Linked DNA regions of Caenorhabditis elegans. The protein of the gene in region 4 interacts with the protein of the main gene of each other region in a pairwise test. Each region holds a gene or a part of one and is shown on either strand. Other genes may lie near its edges. The genes, in order: lgg-2, tbx-39, ceh-27 and ZK121.2.

The links.
Region 1: the proteins of ZK121.2 (region 4) and lgg-2 interact in a two-hybrid assay, tested with the Caenorhabditis elegans proteins (one large-scale study listed by BioGRID).
Region 2: the proteins of ZK121.2 (region 4) and tbx-39 interact in a two-hybrid assay, tested with the Caenorhabditis elegans proteins (one large-scale study listed by BioGRID).
Region 3: the proteins of ZK121.2 (region 4) and ceh-27 interact in a two-hybrid assay, tested with the Caenorhabditis elegans proteins (one large-scale study listed by BioGRID).

What each region holds. Positions count from the first base shown.
Region 1 is NC_003282.8:10,933,304-10,937,788, forward strand, and holds lgg-2 (Protein lgg-2), read right to left. Parts: upstream 2,601-4,485; 5' UTR 2,559-2,600; coding exon 2,453-2,558; intron 1,835-2,452; coding exon 1,666-1,834; intron 1,615-1,665; coding exon 1,461-1,614; 3' UTR 893-1,460; downstream 1-892. Other genes in the region: lsm-7 (U6 snRNA-associated Sm-like protein LSm7), read left to right, coding at 224-229, 284-377, 505-613, 702-807; Protein adenylyltransferase fic-1, read left to right, coding at 4,169-4,247, 4,292-4,429. UniProt on the Caenorhabditis elegans protein: Ubiquitin-like modifier involved in the formation of autophagosomal vacuoles (autophagosomes). When lipidated mediates tethering between adjacent membranes and stimulates membrane fusion. Less effective at promoting membrane fusion than lgg-1.
Region 2 is NC_003282.8:15,321,781-15,325,881, reverse strand, and holds tbx-39 (Putative T-box protein 39), read right to left. Parts: upstream 1,990-4,101; coding exon 1,793-1,989; intron 1,741-1,792; coding exon 1,554-1,740; intron 1,500-1,553; coding exon 693-1,499; downstream 1-692. Other genes in the region: Y73F8A.15 (DUF38 domain-containing protein), read right to left, coding at 3,702-3,904, 4,096-4,101.
Region 3 is NC_003283.11:11,661,033-11,667,094, forward strand, and holds ceh-27 (Homeobox domain-containing protein), read right to left. Parts: upstream 4,071-6,062; 5' UTR 4,035-4,070; exon of another isoform or gene 3,902-4,034; intron 3,667-3,901; 5' UTR 3,666-3,666; coding exon 3,508-3,665; intron 3,204-3,507; coding exon 3,136-3,203; intron 1,700-3,135; coding exon 1,503-1,699; intron 1,433-1,502; coding exon 1,175-1,432; intron 855-1,174; coding exon 744-854; 3' UTR 517-743; downstream 1-516.
Region 4 is NC_003281.10:5,339,667-5,344,832, reverse strand, and holds ZK121.2 (R3H domain-containing protein), read right to left. Parts: upstream 3,152-5,166; 5' UTR 3,144-3,151; coding exon 2,940-3,143; intron 2,557-2,939; coding exon 2,225-2,556; intron 2,181-2,224; coding exon 2,040-2,180; intron 1,922-2,039; coding exon 1,513-1,921; intron 1,236-1,512; coding exon 717-1,235; intron 659-716; coding exon 587-658; 3' UTR 574-586; downstream 1-573.

The DNA.
Region 1 (4,485 bases), on a different chromosome or scaffold from region 4:
TTGTTGAGCTAATATTTTTCGAATTTATTTTTTCTTTTCTTTATTTTATTTTCTTCTCTATATACGTTTGTAATTTTAAATCATAATTTATCAATTAAAAATACCGTTTAAAAAAATTCTAAATCAATAAGATTTTGTCAGCTTAATTTATTTCATTCGTAATCGATAATTTCATTCAAAATTTCGGAATTATTTCAGACTCACCACAACTCAACACAGAGAAATGTCGGTATGTTTTAAAAATACAATGAATAAGTTATTTATAATTGTTGTATTATTTTAGAAAGACGAAGGAAAACGAAAGAAGGAGTCTGTCGTTGATCTCACCAGATTTCTCGACAAAGAGATTCGCGTCAAGTTCCAAGGAGGACGTGAAGGTTGGTTTTTTTTTTGCACAATGATGTGCACTAGCAATAAGATTCCGTCATTAAACTATTTAAACAATATGAAAGCGTCCAACATACACAAGCTGTACTTCACTCCATAAAAATGTATAAATTTCAGCAAGTGGCGTGCTTCGAGGATTCGATCAGTTGCTCAATATGGTTCTTGATGACTGCCGCGAGTATCTCCGTGATCCACAAAATCCTTCGGTCGTCGGTGATGAGACAAGGTAATTGATAGATTTCCAAAAATCGATTTAAAGCTTGGATTTCAAATTAAATCTAGATTTTCGATTTTATCTTATCTTTTATCTTAAGACAACTGGGTCTTATTGTGGCTCGCGGAACAGCAATTACAGTAGTTAGCCCAGCAGATGGACTCGAGCAAATCGCCAATCCATTCGCAACCCAGGAAGAAGAATAATCGTTGATATCATCATCATCTCTTATTATTATTATATATGTATGTGATCTCCTTGTGAATGAACATTCTCCAGATAAAAACGACGAAAAAGTTGTTATTACATACAAAACATTTGATACATTGAATTTGGAAAAGTAACGATGGAACAAGATGTAATAATTTTGAATTGAATCCGTCTAGGCAGTCAGAAAGTCCATAGCGGTAAATTTCAATGTTCAGGGCAGTAAGGAAAATAGTCCCTATGGGCTTTAGAGACTAGCCAAGTACACAGAATCGTAAACGGTTTAAATTTTGTTGAAAGAGGATCAGTTGTGAAAAGAAGACATGAAGAAATTCAAGAAACGGGCTGGAAAATGCGGAGAAAGAGTTATGAGGGAACACATAAAGACTACACGAAAACGTAAGCGAATTTGGGTTTCTTTTTTTTCGTTTGTAAAACAAATTTCAGCTGGAAGTTTTGAGGTGGGGAATTGCGAGGGGCGAAATTAGCAAAGGCAACTAGAAAAATGGTTGGCGCCTGAGTATGATGGGTTTTCAGGTATTTACATTTAAAAATACAACATTTTACAGTGAGGATTGCATTGGGCAATCAGTGGTGTTGGTGGAAATTTAAAAATTGATTAGAATTGTGATGGAAAACGGCTCTTGATGTGTTATCCAAATGCTGGTTGAGACGTGTAAACCATATACACAAAGCCATCTGGATCACGCTCTTGACTGTACAAATTGGACATGCTCATAGAATTTGACACCATTGAGCGTTCATTGACGAGCAGGAAGAATGCTTGTTGTGGATGAAGTTGGAGGCTGAAAAGCAAACGGATGATTTTGAAAAAACAACTCAGTTGAATAGCTCACCGTCGTCTAACAATTGACATGAGCTCGGCAACGGTTATATGCTCGGGTACTAGGAATTTGCAGCGATCCATAAGTGGTAAACTGCGTTCTCCATCAAATCTTTCGATAATTACCGGAACCTTGTTCGGTTGTTGGCTGCGGATTTCTTCCACATCTTTCTGACGCTCATCTGAAATCGAATAGGTTAAAAAGGTTTTCTTTCGAAAATTTGAAAATAAAAAAGTTGTTCCTCAGTTCTGGATTTCTCTTTTCCACTCGTAAAATTCATATTTCTATTTAAAGATTGGCGTACGTTCAGTTTTGGTTGTTATCTTGAATGGTGGGCAATATTTTGAACTCTAGAATATCAATATTGATCCAAATTTTCCTATAATCCTATTTCCCTTGCACCTGCCCTATTGATCTTTGTTTCTCAGGTCCATCTATCTCTTTCTTTCATACAACGAAGAGCACCCAATTAATACGCAATGTTCCATGGGTGCTGCTCCACTGACATAGTCACTCATTCACACAAGATCAGCTGATTTTCACATGTCTCACTTGCATATTGTCTCTTGTTTCCTCATGCTCTCTCGCTGAAACGCATGACGCGGGGTGTCTGTCCTCTGCGTCTCTGACCTTTTACAATGGACGGGTGAAGGAAAAAAAAGTGGGAATGATTGGGAATGAATTGGTTGGGATGAAAACCAGATGTTTGATGTTAAAGTAAAATTAAAGTGAGACTTGAAGCTCTATTTTTATTTTGATGACAATTGTTTGATTAGTAAATGAATTTTAAAAAACTTACGGAATGGCCTTCTTTCCTTGAACGATGGAACGATTCCGGAAATGTAAGATCCTCCCCGATTTCCGCTCATCGCTGTTTGTGTGTAACTTTGAAGCGTGGCTAGCATAAACGCTTCTTCACTTTTTCGTGCTGAGACCCGATTTTCGATCTGCAAACTTGAAAAATGGTAACTGGTATTTGAAAAGTTGAGAAAACTGATTTTAGAAGAGAAATTAGAGTGTGAGATGCTAAAGGACACTGTATGTTTTTGTGAGAATTTTTTTATCAAGAAGCGAAAAGACAGGTGAAAGGGAATGGGACAGAGGGAAAAATCGAGACAGAGGCAGTAGGCAGCACACACGCTCTTTTGCTGTATGTCTCTTTGTCCTCTGTGTCTCTTCATTGATGCTACTCTCTTTTCTCACACCACAAGATCGACTGAGCGTCGAGGACACATGACCGCGAGACGGAGAGACGATGAGAAGAGAAGAATCATGTGATGAAGGAATAGATGGGGAAAAGAAAGAATAGAGTTAGAGAAGATGAGAGTGTGTATTATGACCCTTCTCCCAGCTAATACAGAAGTTCGAAGCAGTGTCAGACAGATGAAATGATAGCGAAATTTGAAACGATGAGTGGCAACGAATTAAATAAATATGACAGCGAGACTTGTTGGCGACACTAAGAAAGTTATAGGAGAAAACGTTTTAATTGAATACTTCCTAGAAAACTTCTCAACTAATGTTCTAGTGTGAAAATGCTTGGTTTTATGAATGAAAATTTCTAATATTAAAATGGGCCGTTTAAATTAACGGAAAACTAAAGATTTTATCTATACCAGCCAACTCTTTTATATCGGTCTACGTAAAAAAAGTGCTTGTACTTTGAAAATAGTGGCAGGGAGAGATAAAGGGCAGGGGAACCAGATGATCTCTAGAACTTCCAGTCTGAATCTACTACTCCCAATCAGAACAACTGACGTTTTTTTCTGCAAACTTTTTTCTCGGAACTTTAGATCTTTGACGCGATTTTCGAAAAAGGGAGAAGTGATGAAATATGATCAAGATTTCACAGCAAAAATTGGCAATCTGCGATATTTTTTTGACATTTTAAGGGTTTCCTTAGATTTTCCGTTGTTGAAAATGCGGGTATCTAAATAATTTCGAAAGAAGTTTTGAGATGAGGACGAAACTATGGAAAGAGCAAAACAATAAGTGATGAGGGGAAAGAAAGAAAAGTGAAAAATCGATGTACGAGTAAACAGACTCTCATGACTAGTGAACTCAATTATGTTTACGTCTCAAAATCGATATGTTACTGCGCACGCCGTGTGCATTTGTCTGCGTCTCGTTTATTTTCTTTTCTTTAATAGCATTTTCCGCGTACGAACTTCAAAGATGAAGAAATTTCTTGTGAAATCGAGTGGAATGTCGATATTTATATGGTTAATATTTAGATAAAAGATTATTCAGTTTTTTAAATTAGGTTTTTCGGATATAACTTGAAAAAAAAGAAGGAAAACATGCCAAAATCGAAAAAAAATGCATTTGGTGTTCAAACCATTAATCAGTACTACCGTAACTCAAAGGCGCATTAACGTTTTTTTACTCTGGTCTCGAAGCGAAAGGTGGAATCATGCTCAAAATTAATTTGCAGATCTTTTTTCTTGTTTTCGCTTCAAATGCATGAATAAGTTCTGGAAAATTTGTTTTTTTGCAGATAGTTTTAAATAATGTGATGTCAGTTCGAAGACGAACTCATTCCGATGATTTCTCCTATCTTTTGGAAAAAACCCGAAGACCTTCCAAATTAAATGGTACATTTTTGATTATTTTCCAAATAAAAACATATAATTTTCAGTAGTTCAAGAAGATCCGAAATCGGCCCCACCACAAGGTTATTCACTAACCACAGTCATCATTATCTCAGTTTTAGTATCACTAATCTGCCAACATTTTGTACCATATGCAGTCTCTACGCTGCACACTGTAATAAAAAGTGAGTCGCAAAAATAAATATTAATATTTTCGCTTATTTCTTGAAATAAAAAATCA
Region 2 (4,101 bases), on a different chromosome or scaffold from region 4:
TGGTATATTTCCTGTTTTTTTTTGTAAAGTTACGTATCTGCGGCCCACAATATAATCGAAAAATTTGAAAAATTTCAAATTTTAATATCCGAAATTCGGAATAATTTGACACGCAAAAATGATGTGCTTATGTTTCTATTCCACACTTGATTCATCAAAATTGAAACATTAAAATAAAAAAAAAAGCAAACTTTTTTGCTAAGCAGCTCCATAATAGGCTTTCCATCCGGGCGAGGTGTGTCGGGGGCGCCCTTCGCCCGCCTCTTTCCCGCGCCCCCCTCACGCCCGCCCTGACACCCGGTATGCAATTTGTCGTCGCGGTGTTTGCAGAAATGAAACAAATTGGACGCGCATTTAGAAAACTTTGCCATCACGTTATAATATTAAATTGTAATTTTGGCAATTATTTTTATTCAATAGTGGATTAATAGTGCAATGTTTAATTTTGAAAATGAATAATGTATGAATTTCTGAGCCCTTTTATCATAACGGTAAAGCAAGATTAGTGTTAAAAGTTTATTAAAAGAAAATTGATTTACAAATTATTGCGACTAGAAACAGAAAATTAGGTGAGAAATAATTTACAGAATTAAACAAAATGAGCTAAAGTCAATATGGACAGAGAAGTCAAAACAATCACAGGAAAATTTGAAAAAAATAGGAAACAAGGGTTAGTAATGAAGAAGTGACAATTAATTGCTAGAATAATATGGATAGTGGATAGGATTTCCATTTTCATCGAAATATGAATTTTCAGCAGAAAATGATGACTGGAAAGAGGAATCAGAATAAATAGAGTTATTCATGGAATAGTTGAGATGTGGAAACTGTTGGCTGGATTGAAAATATGGATAATAATAGGGATAGGAACCATATGGATATTGATTTGGAAATTGAGAGACTGGGTAATCTGGAGCATTCTGATGAATATTTTCCTTTTGATTGATCGCAAATTGTGGTACACTTGAAAGATACTGAACATTTTTTGCAACCCTATTTTGTTTAGTTTTCGGATCGAATTGATTGTGGATTTCATCAAATAGAGCTGTGAATTGCTGAACATAAATTGGTGGAGTATTGACTGTTGGATACGCATGTGGATATTGATTTTGATAGGAAGTTGATGGGAACTGGTGAATAGAGGAACTGATCTCATTTTGAAGCCTTCCAGAATTCGTGGACTCATTATAATTTTCTGATTGTGAGGCAACTTGAAGGATATCCGAAACAGCAATTTCTGTTTCATTTTTTGATCGTTTTGATGTTCGCTCTTCACTCGAATCAGTATTCTTTCTCTTGTTTCCCCCATCCAATCTATTTCCATATGTTGAGTTCTTGTGAAATTTAGATTTCCAATTTCCGATCGATTCTTGATTGTATACTGTGACTGGGAAAAATTGGGCTACTTCCATTCTCATAGAATGATTTGCAGATTCAACATTCGTGATATTTTTGACAGTGAGGACTGGAACATACTTGTGCATTGTTTCCACGAAAAACTGAAATAAAAATTAATTATAATATTATTTAGTGAATTAAAAATTCAAACTAACCACATTATCCTTGTCCATGAATTTTTTGTGATTCGTAATCCTGACTGTATCAAATTTAATAGTTTCCTTCATCAATTCCTTTCCAAGTTTTGTTCCATCTGGATGTAAGAAATATTTGATTTCTTGTTCTTTTTTCGTTGCATGACGGACTTTTGAAGGTCCCCATTTTCCATTTCGGTATCCATATCTGAAATTAAGATTTGTCTTTAATGGTGACTTTGAAAATCATTAAAAAATACCTGATATTGTCATATTTTTCAATTGAAAGAAGTACAACATATCTCGATTTCTCTTCCAATCCAGTAATATTGAAGTTGAGTTCGGGAAAAATTAGTTTCGGCCCTTTATTATTCACAATCATTTCCATATTTGGATACCATTGTTTCCATCGGTCTTCTTCAGCCATTGTAACATTGAATTGAGCTTGTGAAAACATTATTGAATCTGAATATTGAAAAAAAATCAACATATATTAATAGGAAGTATGAAAGAAAAAAAACGGTATACTAAACAAAATATTATAATGAATGATCCTCTCTATCCCTTTAATGTTTTAGACCCCACTTAGTGGGCGGAGCCTGAGCACTGGGTTGAGTCAACCAATTATCGATTGATTGTATTCACTTGCTCTCTTAGAATTGCTCAACAAAAACTGTTTGAAACTGGAAATCGTACTTTATATAGTGATGTCCTTTTAATCACTATATTGAAACAGTAACTTTTTGAGTGCTGCCGCATTTGATAAAAACGCCCGAGTTACTAATTTAAAATAAAAATACTAAAACCCGATCCAAAGCAAATTATTTAAGGATATCCACATTTAGACTTTTATTTTGTAGTGTCAATTTTCTGCGTGCTTCTCTATTCCAGATTACCTTTTCACATATTAATATTTCATGTCAAAGTTGTCTATTCCAAAACATTACGTTACAGTTCCACTGGTGACCTATATTCTTCCCAATTGTCATTCACATAATGACAATAGGTGCAAGGTATCCCCCACCTTAACATCCACCACTTTACAACTCTACTTCCTTCTCCTTGACATATCATTCCTTTTCGATCGATTTCCGGACACACACCTGACAATCCAAATGGTTGTAAACTTTATGTACTGGGAAAATATATTTAGTCTTTTGATAGATAATAAGCAGAAAAGTGAGAAAGTGTATACTTTTACAAAATTGAAAATATAGAAAATGATAGGTTTACATTTCATTGCAAACGTTATTTTAATAACAAAATTTCAGACAGAAAAGGATTTATTTGAAAAGTTTCTATTTTGGATGAAAATTCTACTCCGCTCTGCAAAACACTATGTCAGTATTAGTAAATATGTATTAGACATCACATTCTTAAAGAGAGAATTAATAAGCTGTAATTAAAAAAAAAATAAAAATTGCTGTTTCAACATTGTGATACATTTGCTGCATTAATGAGAGTAAGACAATTTGTTTGGTGGCCTTATTGATGTTAGTGAAATATGCCACATTTATTCTCGAAAATATGAATTAATTAATTAAAATCCCAACAGAAGTTACTTTTTTCTTGAATATTTTTCTATCGGTAAGAATATAGCTTCGGTTTACAATTTACTGAGATATATATGTACATAACTAAACTATTGAGCTGACAAATTCAAAAATATCCAAAAACAATCAAGGAATACAGGTTGAACGGATCATTGAGCATATTATGCATGTTGACATTAAAATTAAAATTGTAATACAAAAGTATTTACGGAGTGTTTTAAATTACTATAGTGAAACACGCAATATGTAGATAAACAATTTTGATAAAGTTAAAGACAGAATTTTTTTGAGTAGCCATTCTATTTAATTCCATGTGCATATAATTGTATTTTTTTCCGAAAAATTAACTAATGCTGAAATTAAAATTATGTTTCAATGTCCTGATAACTTTGTCACCATGTTTTGCAATTATTATGTTTTTCTCCCAACAATATTTTCTGATTGGAACTGGAATCAAAAAATCATTTTTAAAATTCATATTAATATCAACAACAAGTTATGCGTTTAGATTTACCAACGTTTAGAAACAGTAAAAATTATCAGAACTTTACAAAAATTCTTTTCGAGCAACTTCTTTATTCTAATCAAGTACTACTTCATTCATCACAATGGAATATTAATTGATAACAATTCCAGATTTAAGTCTCCATTTTCCTTCTTCTCCTTCACGCAATAGATAGAAATCAGCAATATTGGTTCTTGGCCCAACTACATGTGAAACATTGAACTTGATTTCATTTTTTCCTTGAGTAAAAATCGATGATTTGAGGATCAATGGCTCGGGATTCGGCTTGGTAAGGTAGCTTTCCACGAATAGAGCTGAAAAAATTAAACAATCATTAGAGTATTTAGTAGTTGAACATTCTAAAATTCACTATGAAAAACTACTTGGTAACCTGGAATTTTCAACAAAAAAATTGCTCCTAATGTTTCACAAACTGCTTATATGACCTCACTTTATGGAATAACCATTCCCTTTCCGACGTAGAATATAGTCATATAAAACTCACCTTTGG
Region 3 (6,062 bases), on a different chromosome or scaffold from region 4:
CTGCAAATTGGAAAAATTGGAAAAACATGGAATAAATTATGAAATAGAATGTTATCGATTATTTTTCCAATTGCAAATTAAATTATTTCAACTGTAATGCTAATTTTGCTTCAAAAGTAATTTACTAAAAATCGTTTCTATATGATCTCAAGCAGTTATCACGAGAAGTACACAGCTTGTGCAACAATGTGAACACCACCTAAAAACATCTGAAAACATGTTTTCTGAAAATCTTCCTAATTTTTGGTGGATGATTCATCGCGTCACTATTGCTGTCTGACATCTTCATTTCCTTCTTTTCCTTCTTCCTTTTTTTGGATGTCGACGTCTTGTTCAAGTACCTCCATTCAGTTTTCTACAAAACAATATACTACGCATTTTCTTTTCTATACAACATGCGTGCGCCTCTTCATGTTCATCACCATTCATCCCAATGAATAGGAAGAGAATGGCACGTCGTCTGTCATTATGATTACGGTAAAAGCGACATCTATTTCTGAAATCAATGAAACAAAGTTTTAAATTTAAAATTATTTTTATTGTGCAAGATTATATAATATCAAAAATATAGCAACAACGCATATAAATACATACCAGTTTAGTGTTGGGATTTTTCAATTTTTGGAATAAAAAAATGAGAAGCTCATTGAGGATTGGGGAAGGAAAGAGAACAGAAGAGTCACGAGATTTTTAGATTGAAATTGAGAAAATTAAAAAAAAAATTGAGCATAGTTGAATGTCAGCTAAAGGTTATGAAATGCTGATGTCGATAAATTGTATGTAGACGGAGGATAGTTTGCAGGAGGTGCTTGGTATGCGAAGAACGGAGGCATATATGAACTCGAAGGGTACATCTGGAAAAAAAACATAGTTGAACATTGTCATCTAACGATAGCCATATAAAAAACAACTGCACAGTTCATAAGCCTGTGATTCAAAAGTGGAAAATGACAGCTGCAGTCAGAAGTGGGTCCTTCAAAAATCATTTGTGCATCTGCATCTGTTTCCAGGTGATGAGACCACATCATAACGGAACAAATTGAATTAGAATAGAGAGATAGTCACAAGTGTGTGATCCGATTCCCTATGTTAATCCTATTGGATTACCGTCACAAAATCTTATTTGTAACACGATTTTGTGATTTGAAAGTCTCAACAAATCTAAAATACGAACCTGATATGGGAATGCTTGTTGTGAGATATCCGGAAGACAAGCTGTATCAGATGAAACTGCTGATGGCATGAATGGTTTCCGATCTTCATCTTCTTCCTTCTTGATTCCAGACATCGAACTTCCAAGTGATCCACTACTATCATTGTCTCTGTCTGAATCAGTGTCCCTGTCACTATCCCGATAGCATCCACCATCCATTTTCTTCTCTTTTTCTTGTCTCTTGCACTTGTAGCGTTGATTTTGGAACCAGATTTTCACCTGAATACGGCAAATGTGAGAAACTAACAAGAAACATCGCAAATGATTAGCTTAAATTAAAAGTTCAAACCTGTGTTGCCGACAAGTTAATACTCTTCGCAAGGTTTTCCCGATCCGCGGCGCTCAAATATCTGTTGATTTGGAATTTGCGTTCCAGGACGTGAACTTGTTGAGGTGAGAAGAGAACACGTCGCTTTCTTCGTGATATCATCATATTCTGCTGTGTCGTAAGTCCCAAATTCAGCTGATTGGTTTGGAAGCGATTAACTGCAATAAATAGTGATTGTTTTATGCCTACTAAATACAATAGGATCATGGCAATAAGATCCGCGATAATTTGCCCTTCAACGGAAGTCTCAGGAAATCGACAATTTCCGTAGTCCCTTATAAAAACAATAAGAAAAATACACATGCGTGCACGTGTCAATGTATGCTAACACTTGTCTTAACTACGATACAAAAATGGCACCACAGCAAACTCTTCTACAAATATGGTCCGTTTACCAGACAATTGAGTATTCGAGAGAGACTCCCCGTGGCGTACTAAACAAATTGCTGAGAATTGGCAGACAAGCTGCCAGCAACTGAATCTAGGTTGTCCTGTACATTTAAAGATAAAAATTCAGATCAAATTGGAAGTTTTGAAAAAGTTTTCAGCAGTGAACTTGGTTTAAAGCTAAAAACTGATACGGTATCAACTACTGTATTTTTTTTGTCAGAATTGTACTTAATTGCTCCGCTTTGACAACTTAAATCTCGTTTTTAAAGCTATAAAAAATAACTAAGTACGAAACTATATATGAAAAATGACATTTACTGTAAGTTGATAATTTTGTGATAAAACAAAAAACCACCCAGATATGAGATGTCAAAGCTGTTCAATAGAATGACAATGTAAATTATTTTAAGTAGAGATATAATAGAAAATAAATTTTTGGCATTCTAAAATACTTATCAGAAAATATGATATCTGATTTGGACCCTTACTGCAATTTTTCAATTCGGAGTTCACATTTTTTGCAGATTTCCTTTTTATGATTTCCGCCATTGACCTTCCAACAATTAAAAGTTCCACCAACTAGTTTTGTCACATGTTCACGTCTACAGTACCACGACCTTCATGCCTTTAAGTTTTGGAAGCAATTCTCTCACGGTTTCAAGTAGGTGTTGTAGATTACTGATGTTACGTCACTTCCGACGCAACTTCATTGAACCCCTACTATCACCTCTCAATATGGTGTTAGTTGTTTGTTGTCCAACAAAGGAAAATAAGGGACAGACGTAGTTAGTTGAGTTGGCAAACTTGTTCATTTCCAATGTTGTGGCAACCAAGGGGAGGTACTGTAGGACGAGTTTCGTTGGAAAGACAAACATTTAGCACCACCGGCAGAAAGGGATTATATGTTTTGCAGGAAGAAGCGAAAAAAGATCTAAGAGAAAGGAAAAAGCTAGTGTGGGAACCTTTTTTACTCATAGACCAGACCTACTGTAGCTCGGGTATATGTCAATTATATCGCGCACGCTTGTTTTATATATGTATGTGTTATATAATAATCTAAATAATAAACCAAAGAATCTAGACATAAAATAATTGTTGCGAAAAATGCGAAGCGCGCAACTCAATTGAATTGACCGGACTGTAATTATTTGCGAACGGGAAAGTGAGAAAAGTCGAGAAGATGAATTTGAAGAAAAAAACTCACAATTGGCCAGTTGAGGATGCGTTGCCATTGGGTAAGGAGCGGTGGCGTAGGCCGCACTTGTGTTGTAGCTGAAGAAATATTCAGGTTTGCTAAAATTATTCGTGAATTAACTAATTAATTGGATTTTTTTGAACTTTTTTGTATTCAGGAGCGGTGGCGTAGGCCGCACTTGTGTTGTAGCTGAAGAAATATTCAGGTTTGCTAAAATTATTCGTGAATTAACTAATTAATTGGATTTTTTTGAACTTTTTTGTATTCTAAATCGAAATAAATTATATTTGCTAGAAACCATTGATGTTGAATAATTCCACATCTGGGGGACATATAATCCATCATCATACATCCAGAATTTACCTCAAATTAAAAGCATACCTTGAGAAATCATGTGGATATTGATTAGGGAAGGCAAAATAAGACATTTGTGCTGCAGTTGTAGCCGGTGCTGAGATGGAGAGAGTTGAGAAAGCATCAGTAGTTGGTGTGACAGAATTAGGGGCTGATGTGGAGGAATTGGATGATCCAGAAGACATTCTACAAATTAATTGTAGTTAAAGGCGAGAAACTGGGATTCTAAAGTTAATGTCATATTAGAATACAAAGAAAATAAAAGGAATGAATAGAAGACTCACCATGACTTTTCAAGTTAGAGTTTGAGGTAATATGGTATAGGTTTCTAGATTCTATCATTATTTTTTGGAAACAGAGAATTGAAACTGCTGCTCCAGTGCCTCGATTGGGGCGCTAAATGTGAAGGATGGGGTGTGAAGGGGAGGATGGAAGTGGCGTCCGTCCCGAAAACTACTCAAAACTCACTTAAGTTAAAAACTTGAAAAGTCATGGAGAGGACGGCCAAAGTGGCCCTTCAAGTAAACCGAGAGAATCTCTTAGAGCTCATTTACCTCTTATATGAGTGCTTGTGGAGGATCGTTCACCGTGTGCGTGTCTCCCGTGCGCCTTCAGTCCAGCCTCTCGCCCTGCTTGTCCCACCCGATAGACACGCCCACCAACCTCATTGGATGCCATGGGCGGAGACTGGGGCAAACAGAATCGAGGTATCGGAGGGGAAGAGGTATGGAAACCGAAAAAAAAGAGAAGAAATACTTGAAACCTAATTGCCCATTTTAATCAAGTGCTACCAGCTGAAAATTATAAATGAAATTGAGAATGCGTAGGAGAAGCCTAATTTCTTTACTTGAAAATCTCGAGTTCTAGACTCCCAAATAAACTCAGCTAGCAAGAAAAAAACTTCAAGTCATGTGATTTCTCCACAAGTACCTAAGTTGGCAAATTATTCAGTTATCCTAATTCTGACTAGTGTTGGAGAGTGTTGTTCTTTTTGGTAAATTATGTTGCCAACAGAATAACAGACTAAAAAAAGACCAAAGGGGCAGCGAAATAACTTGAATAGAAACCGTAAGGACAAACAGCTCAATCCTTCGCAAAATTCAATTTCTTTTCAGATAAAACTGCACCATAAGGTGAGACCATCGGCGTCGTCATTTAATTGTATGTTTGTGATAATATCTTAAATTTAAGGTTGTATATGTCTATGTCTCATTGAAAATTGTATGAGTTTTTTCTACTTCATTATTTTTTTTGGAGATATTGAGATATACTAACGTCGTATTGAATGTTGTATGCCATATTGAAACCTAATTCTGAAAAAAATCAATAAAAAAATTTTATAATAGACTGATAATTTCTCAATGGCGAGGAACTGTGTCATATTGCTGTAAATACACTGAAGATGCAGTTTACATTTTAAGTTTCCAAATAATGTTTATTGAGGGAATGGAAAAATGAACGCCTAAAACATTGAGATTTGCAAAAAGTTTCTTAACACGGGCATATATATTTTTACTGGACTTCAGTCATTCCGAAGTGTGGAATTTGAAAATTTTCCTCCCGTTTCTACTGTTTTGATATACCTAGTTTTTTTTATAAAAAGAGAAAAAACCTTTGTTCACGTAACAGCTTTTTTAAAATGTACTTTGATACTTTGCCTTATCAACTGTTTAGTTGTAAAATTAATATATTTTCAGTAAGATTCTTTCAATCGGTAAATAGTTGTTTTCTTTTTACTACCTTGCACTTTGCCTTCCTACATCCAGTTTGAACTTTTACACTTGGGAGAGAGTTCAAAACTCTCAATCATTAGTGGACAATCCAAATGTTAATGAGTTTAACGACCTTCTTTTTTTACCATGAGAAAAAAAAAGTTTGCTAAGTCAACGAAGTTGATCACACTGATAACAGTGAGCCAACAATCAATAGAGCGTGAGAGTATTAGTGTTACTTTCTCATTTTTCACCGAACCAACTTTCCATTAAAAACTCTCGTTTAATCAGATGTAGTTCTCTATTAAAATTAACTTAAAATAGTTCAAGTTTAAACTAGTGAGAGAGATTCGTTTTGATTCAAAGTTTTTATTTTCCAAATTCAATTACAGGCTACAAACAAATTTTCTTGATGTTCATAAAAATGAGTGTTAATATATTTTCACTTTTGTTTTGCTTTGTAATTACAATGAGTTGCAAAAGGCTTTAACGCAAAGTGGGAAAATCTAGATGATATAATTGAGAAATGATTTTGAATCAAGCGAAATCTGACATCAGAATATAAAAAACTTAGTGTACTGAAATAAATTAAATAGAAAAAGTACCCTGCTAAATCCACTTCAAGATGATTGAAAACAAGAGACTCGAGAATTTATGAACACTATGTGCCACATCAGGAAAACCAAAAAAAAAGTGTTGAGTTTTCCATAACGTTTCCACGGTTTTCGTCGCCCGTTCATATTTCACAAATCCTTTTCTCTCCAGTTGTCACTTTTCTGCCATTTCCCTTTCCTTCTACCTCCTTTTCCCGACAAAACACTAATTCCATTATTGAGAGAATAAAGAAGATGGCATGCACCTGTCCCGAGC
Region 4 (5,166 bases):
AGAATTACTGTAGAATTTGCTAAGAGATATTTTGCGCGTCAAATGTGTTGCGCAATATGCATTCTCAGAATTGTTTGTTCCCGTAATAAAGCATTTTAAACGGAAAAATGAAAACAAAACATAAAATTTTCTAAAGACGAGGTAATTTCAATGAAGAATGCAAGGAATTAAGGAAAGTAAACTTGGAGGCAGCCGAAAAATTTAAACAATGGCTATTTACCATGAACCTTTTCTCGTGCCAAGACACTTCTGAATAAATGCTTGCTCCTTTAAAAATGCATGTCAAAGTCTTATGATTGAGTTTAGCGGTTATTTAGCGGCATTGAAAATCAATTTATTCGATATCAAAAGAGCGAAAGAAAAAAAAAGATGACAAGGATTGAGAGAGAGAAAGAAATCTACAAGTTGACTAGAAAAAATTGAAAATCCGTACTTCGAATCATGTTCATATAATCGTAATTATCCAGATGTTTGGCGATATCGTCTTTTCGTGGGGTTTTATCACAATCTACAAGGGGATGGCTAGAAAGAAGAAATACCATTTAAAGAGACAACGGGAGGGGGGGGGGGGGGGGGGGGGAAAGGTTTAGACCTCCTCGACCTTTTCAGCATTCTCGACGTCTTGATTCATGCTTCCATATCCACCATCAATGCTTGCCTAAATCGTTGTTCTATTTTCAACAACCATCAATTCATTTCCTCATCTTCAACCTTACCTTTATAAAACTATTTGCTGTCTCTGCTTGATGGCTTGATGAGTATCCCTGTTGTTGATCAGGCAGTACAAAGTGACTGACTTGTGGAAAGGGTTGAGTTTGAACTGGATCTACAATAACTTCAACTTCCGGATGAACCATTGGCTGGTATTGCATATATTGTTGTGGTGGTGGTGGTCCATACATATACTGAACTCCTTGAGGTCTTCGGTAATCTTGTGGCATGTACCGAATTGGACGAGCGTACTGTTGTGGTTGAACTACTGGTTGAGGTACATACTCATAGTAGGTTCCTCCCGGGGAGCACATTCCAGGCTCTTGGTAGTTTGATGATGGCATTGACATTTCTTCGAATACCTGATAGCCTGTATAGTTGGAGGTTGGAGGTTGTTGGATGTGAGCGTGGTGGTGGTGGTGATGAACCATCACTGATGGAGGTGTTCCACAAACTACTGGCACACTTTGCTCGTAACAGCCATGTGATATTCCGTTTGCCATTCCTCCGAAGCTCTCTGCTTTCTGGAAAATTTAGAGGTTAGAGTTTGAGAAGCGTTTTTTGCGCCCACGGCATGTGATCTTAAATTTTTCGAAACTCGGAAACTTATGGAAACTTATGAAATGTATGAGAGATACTCGTAAATCGACATGGCTGAAGCTCACAGATATTGACGGCCACACGTTCAATCTCAATCATATATTGATTCAAAATCTTGTAGCTTAGCGATCGTGAGAAAGTAAAACTCGACGCTGTTTCTTTTTTGAAAAATCGATTTTTCAGGCGAACTCTGATACTCACCCTCATCATTGGATGTTTTCCAGTGCACAAATAACTATTATTGGAGCAATCAAATGATCTTTGCGGTGCCCATTGATGTCCCTGTGGTCCACTCATTGGTGCAGTAACCATTGATTGTTGTGGGCAGTTGAGTGAAAGTTGTCGCATCGGAAGACCTCGAACATGATGTGGAGATTGAGGTTGAATAACTGATGGTCCAGTGACTGCTGCCACGTCAAATGATTGTGCCCTTCGCATCATGAGTAGATCATGATTAAGACTTGCTTGACTTCCATATTGACTCGTCGAATGATCACCGAATGATTCCATATGGTGAAGTTCCTTGCGGGATCCGCAAGTGTTTTGTCGTTTCAGTCGGTCTTCTACGTAATTATCGTGCCGGATGTAGTCGGTGAAGTTGTCATCAGGACTGGAAATTTGTTACTTTTCTAGTTAAAATCTGACAAGACCAAATAAAGGGGCTAAACTAAAACAGACAAAATATTATGATTTTCATGATACATACATCCGAAAATTAATCAACTCACATTTTGGTTTTCTCTGACTTGTTCACAACAATATCGGTCTGCTTATTCGTAACATTATGATCAAGACCAAACCACGCGGCACACCTGTGAAGAAGCATTCGGTGATAGGATGATGGAAGCTCGAATCTTTTCGATTGTGTGCTGAAAATTATCAATTTCAGACTGAAATTTTAACAAAAACGAACCTATCATCTAAAATAAGTTCTTTGAGTTGTTTTTCGAACTCCAGAAGCTGCTTCCGATCTTCTTCACTCTTGTGTAACGTGCGATCCACAAAATTCCTTAGATCAATGCCACTTCTGTCCGAGTACTCGGTTCCTGTGGACTCTCTGCTTAACGATTTCGATGTGGACCACAGTTTATTCTGTGCGAGACCCGGTGGGCGGAGTTTTGACACGTCACTGCTTTCTGCTGGCTTCTCCTCTTCTTTGCCTTCTTCTGGATGCTCTTCTATGCATGGGACCGTAGTATCCGAGTTTTCTGATGGGCTATCAGAAATTGACAGGAGAGATATTGGCTAAAAATTAAAAAATTTCAGTCGAAAACGACCAGATTTTGTCTATAAACTTACAAACATTCTTCGAAATTGGGTGAAAAATATGAATTTCAGCAGACTTCCTAACAGGAACTATTTCAGTTTTCAGCGCGGCCTATGACACAAAATCGGATCATCCTCTGATGATTCACAAGAGAGTGAGCTGATCAATATGATAATAAAATAATGTATTCTCCAAGCAGCCGACATTTTACGGGTTAGTGATAACTTTTAGCCGGCTTCAAGAAGTTGTGTACCTTAGCAGCATACACCATACGGGACAAGAACTACATCAGCAACGGCACCCATATTCGAAGTCCGACACTTCGCGGGACAATTTCCCACCTTCCCTTGAAATTGCTCACCTCTTCAATTGTTGCATTCTGTTTTGAAAGTCGTCTTCGAACACTTCCATTCCTCCGAACTCCCTCACTTTCTGTAGCTGGCACCGTCGTCACATTCATTGTCATTATTACCGTAGTCGATCGTCGCCGATCATCTTGTTTTGCGTCTTCAACATCGTCAAGCTCTGAATTATTCTCTTCTGAAACGTCGTTTTCGGTTGACATTTACACCTGAAAATTTGGTTTTTGTTGGAAGCACAGAAAAAGCAGAGGATGAGAATTTAAAAAAATAGGATTCAAGAAGTAGTACTACCAAAAAAGAGCAGAGTTTGCATGAAAATGGAGCAGTGGGTAAGCTTCAGCTGCTTTAGAGTCTCCGCCCACGAATGTCCTTCTCCCCCATTCAATGCTAAGCCCCGCCTTTTGAGAACCAAAAAACGAGACGAAATTTCGCAATAAAAAACATAAAAATGAATATAAATACATAATAGGCCTATTTTTTGAAAAGGTATAATAGTTCGAATAAGAAAAAGAAGAAGGTATTTAAAAATTAAAAGAATTTCCAAGCTTTTATCTATGCAGAGATAAGAGATACCAAATAAATGTAAACAAAGAAATCTGAGGTGAAGCAGAGGTTCAAAGAAAACGTGGAGGAAGCAAGAAGGGAGGAAGTTAAAGCCCGTTATAATTCAATTTGCGGGTGTTTCTTGCGTATTCTTGCAATAAAAATAAAAATTCTATTGCGAGTAATTCAAAAAAAAATTCGGTATTTCCACTTTTATGTATCTTCTCGTCTAATTGTAAGTTACATAACGTCAATTTTACAACTGTGGGTCTTGTAACGGAATCTCTCGTTTATTATAGCTTAAAAGTGCATTGAAACATGAAAATTAACATTTCAAACTGAACTCCAGTCTTCGCGGTGGGACCCAAAATTTGTTGAACCTAGGCAAAATTAGTAGCTTATAGAGTTCAAAAAATTAAATTTAAAATGACTCTTCGAATTACAGTAATCTAGTTTTTCCAATCATGTCCTACTTCCTACCGTATGACAACTTTATCACCAATTTTCTATGAAACAGGCAACTAAATAAGCATGAATTAACAACTAAATATCACTGATAATATGCAGTTTCCATCCATTTTCTCAAACATTTCCAATTATTTCTGCGAAAAGCTCAAAATCAGATCAAAATCATTTTCAAGGGGGATTTGTAGGGGATTAGAAACTGCCAAATAATGTGTTTTTGTGGTGGCTCACGGGTGGGAGTGCTCATCTTGAATAATAATGGGTGGGAGGAAATTGAGGTGAGGTTTCCTAACGGAAATTGACTTTTAGAACTTTTTCGGTATGAATCTCTGGAAAATATAGTGCAAACGTAGTTCTACATCCAAAAACTTGATAACTTGAAAGAATTGTAAAATTCTTAGAATTTTTATTTGAAAATTATAAATCTCTTTTGAAAACTTTCAATAAAAAGATACTAACGAGCGGAATTCAGAATACCGTATTTCTTCTATTAATATGGCCTCCCTATTAGACTTGCACTCCCTATTAGTATTGCACCTTTGAATTTTGAGATTTTTACAACATTTTTTGCCTACTTTGCAACAAATTTTTGGTAAAATTTCTATGGAATTGAAGTTATTGTACCTTTTTGTTGCAATTGCAATCAAATTTTCTGAATTTTTACATAAGATACGAGTTTTTTTCAGAAAAAAATAGTAAGCTCAAAGTCAGAAAAATGTTCTGAAAATTAGTATTGCACTCCCTAATAGTCTTGCACTCCCTATTAGTATTGCAAGCGGGAAGACCATCGAAAAATAGTATTGCAGCCATATTAATAGAAGAAATACGGTAGTTTACTTTTGGTTAGATAAATAATATTTTTTTGCAAAGTTCAAATATATGTTTTCTCCATTTGGCTATGTTGTAAACTCTATACTAAAAGTATAAACTAACTCGAAATTTTCATTTCTCACTATCAGAACATGAATAAATTTATCCACTCTATCTTTGAGACACAGAGTTTCATACTTGTATTCTATTATCGACAAAAAGAGCCTATGCAGATGTTTTTTCTTCGTCTACATTCAGCTTTGTTTCATACAAATGACGTTAACAATGTGCCCAACGAGAGAAATGGAAAAAGTGAAGAGACACAGGAAAGCAGGTGGAAATGGAATCTGAAAATGAAACAGGTTGAGGCTCAGAGTAATTGAAAAATTATAGAATTTGGGGAAATTT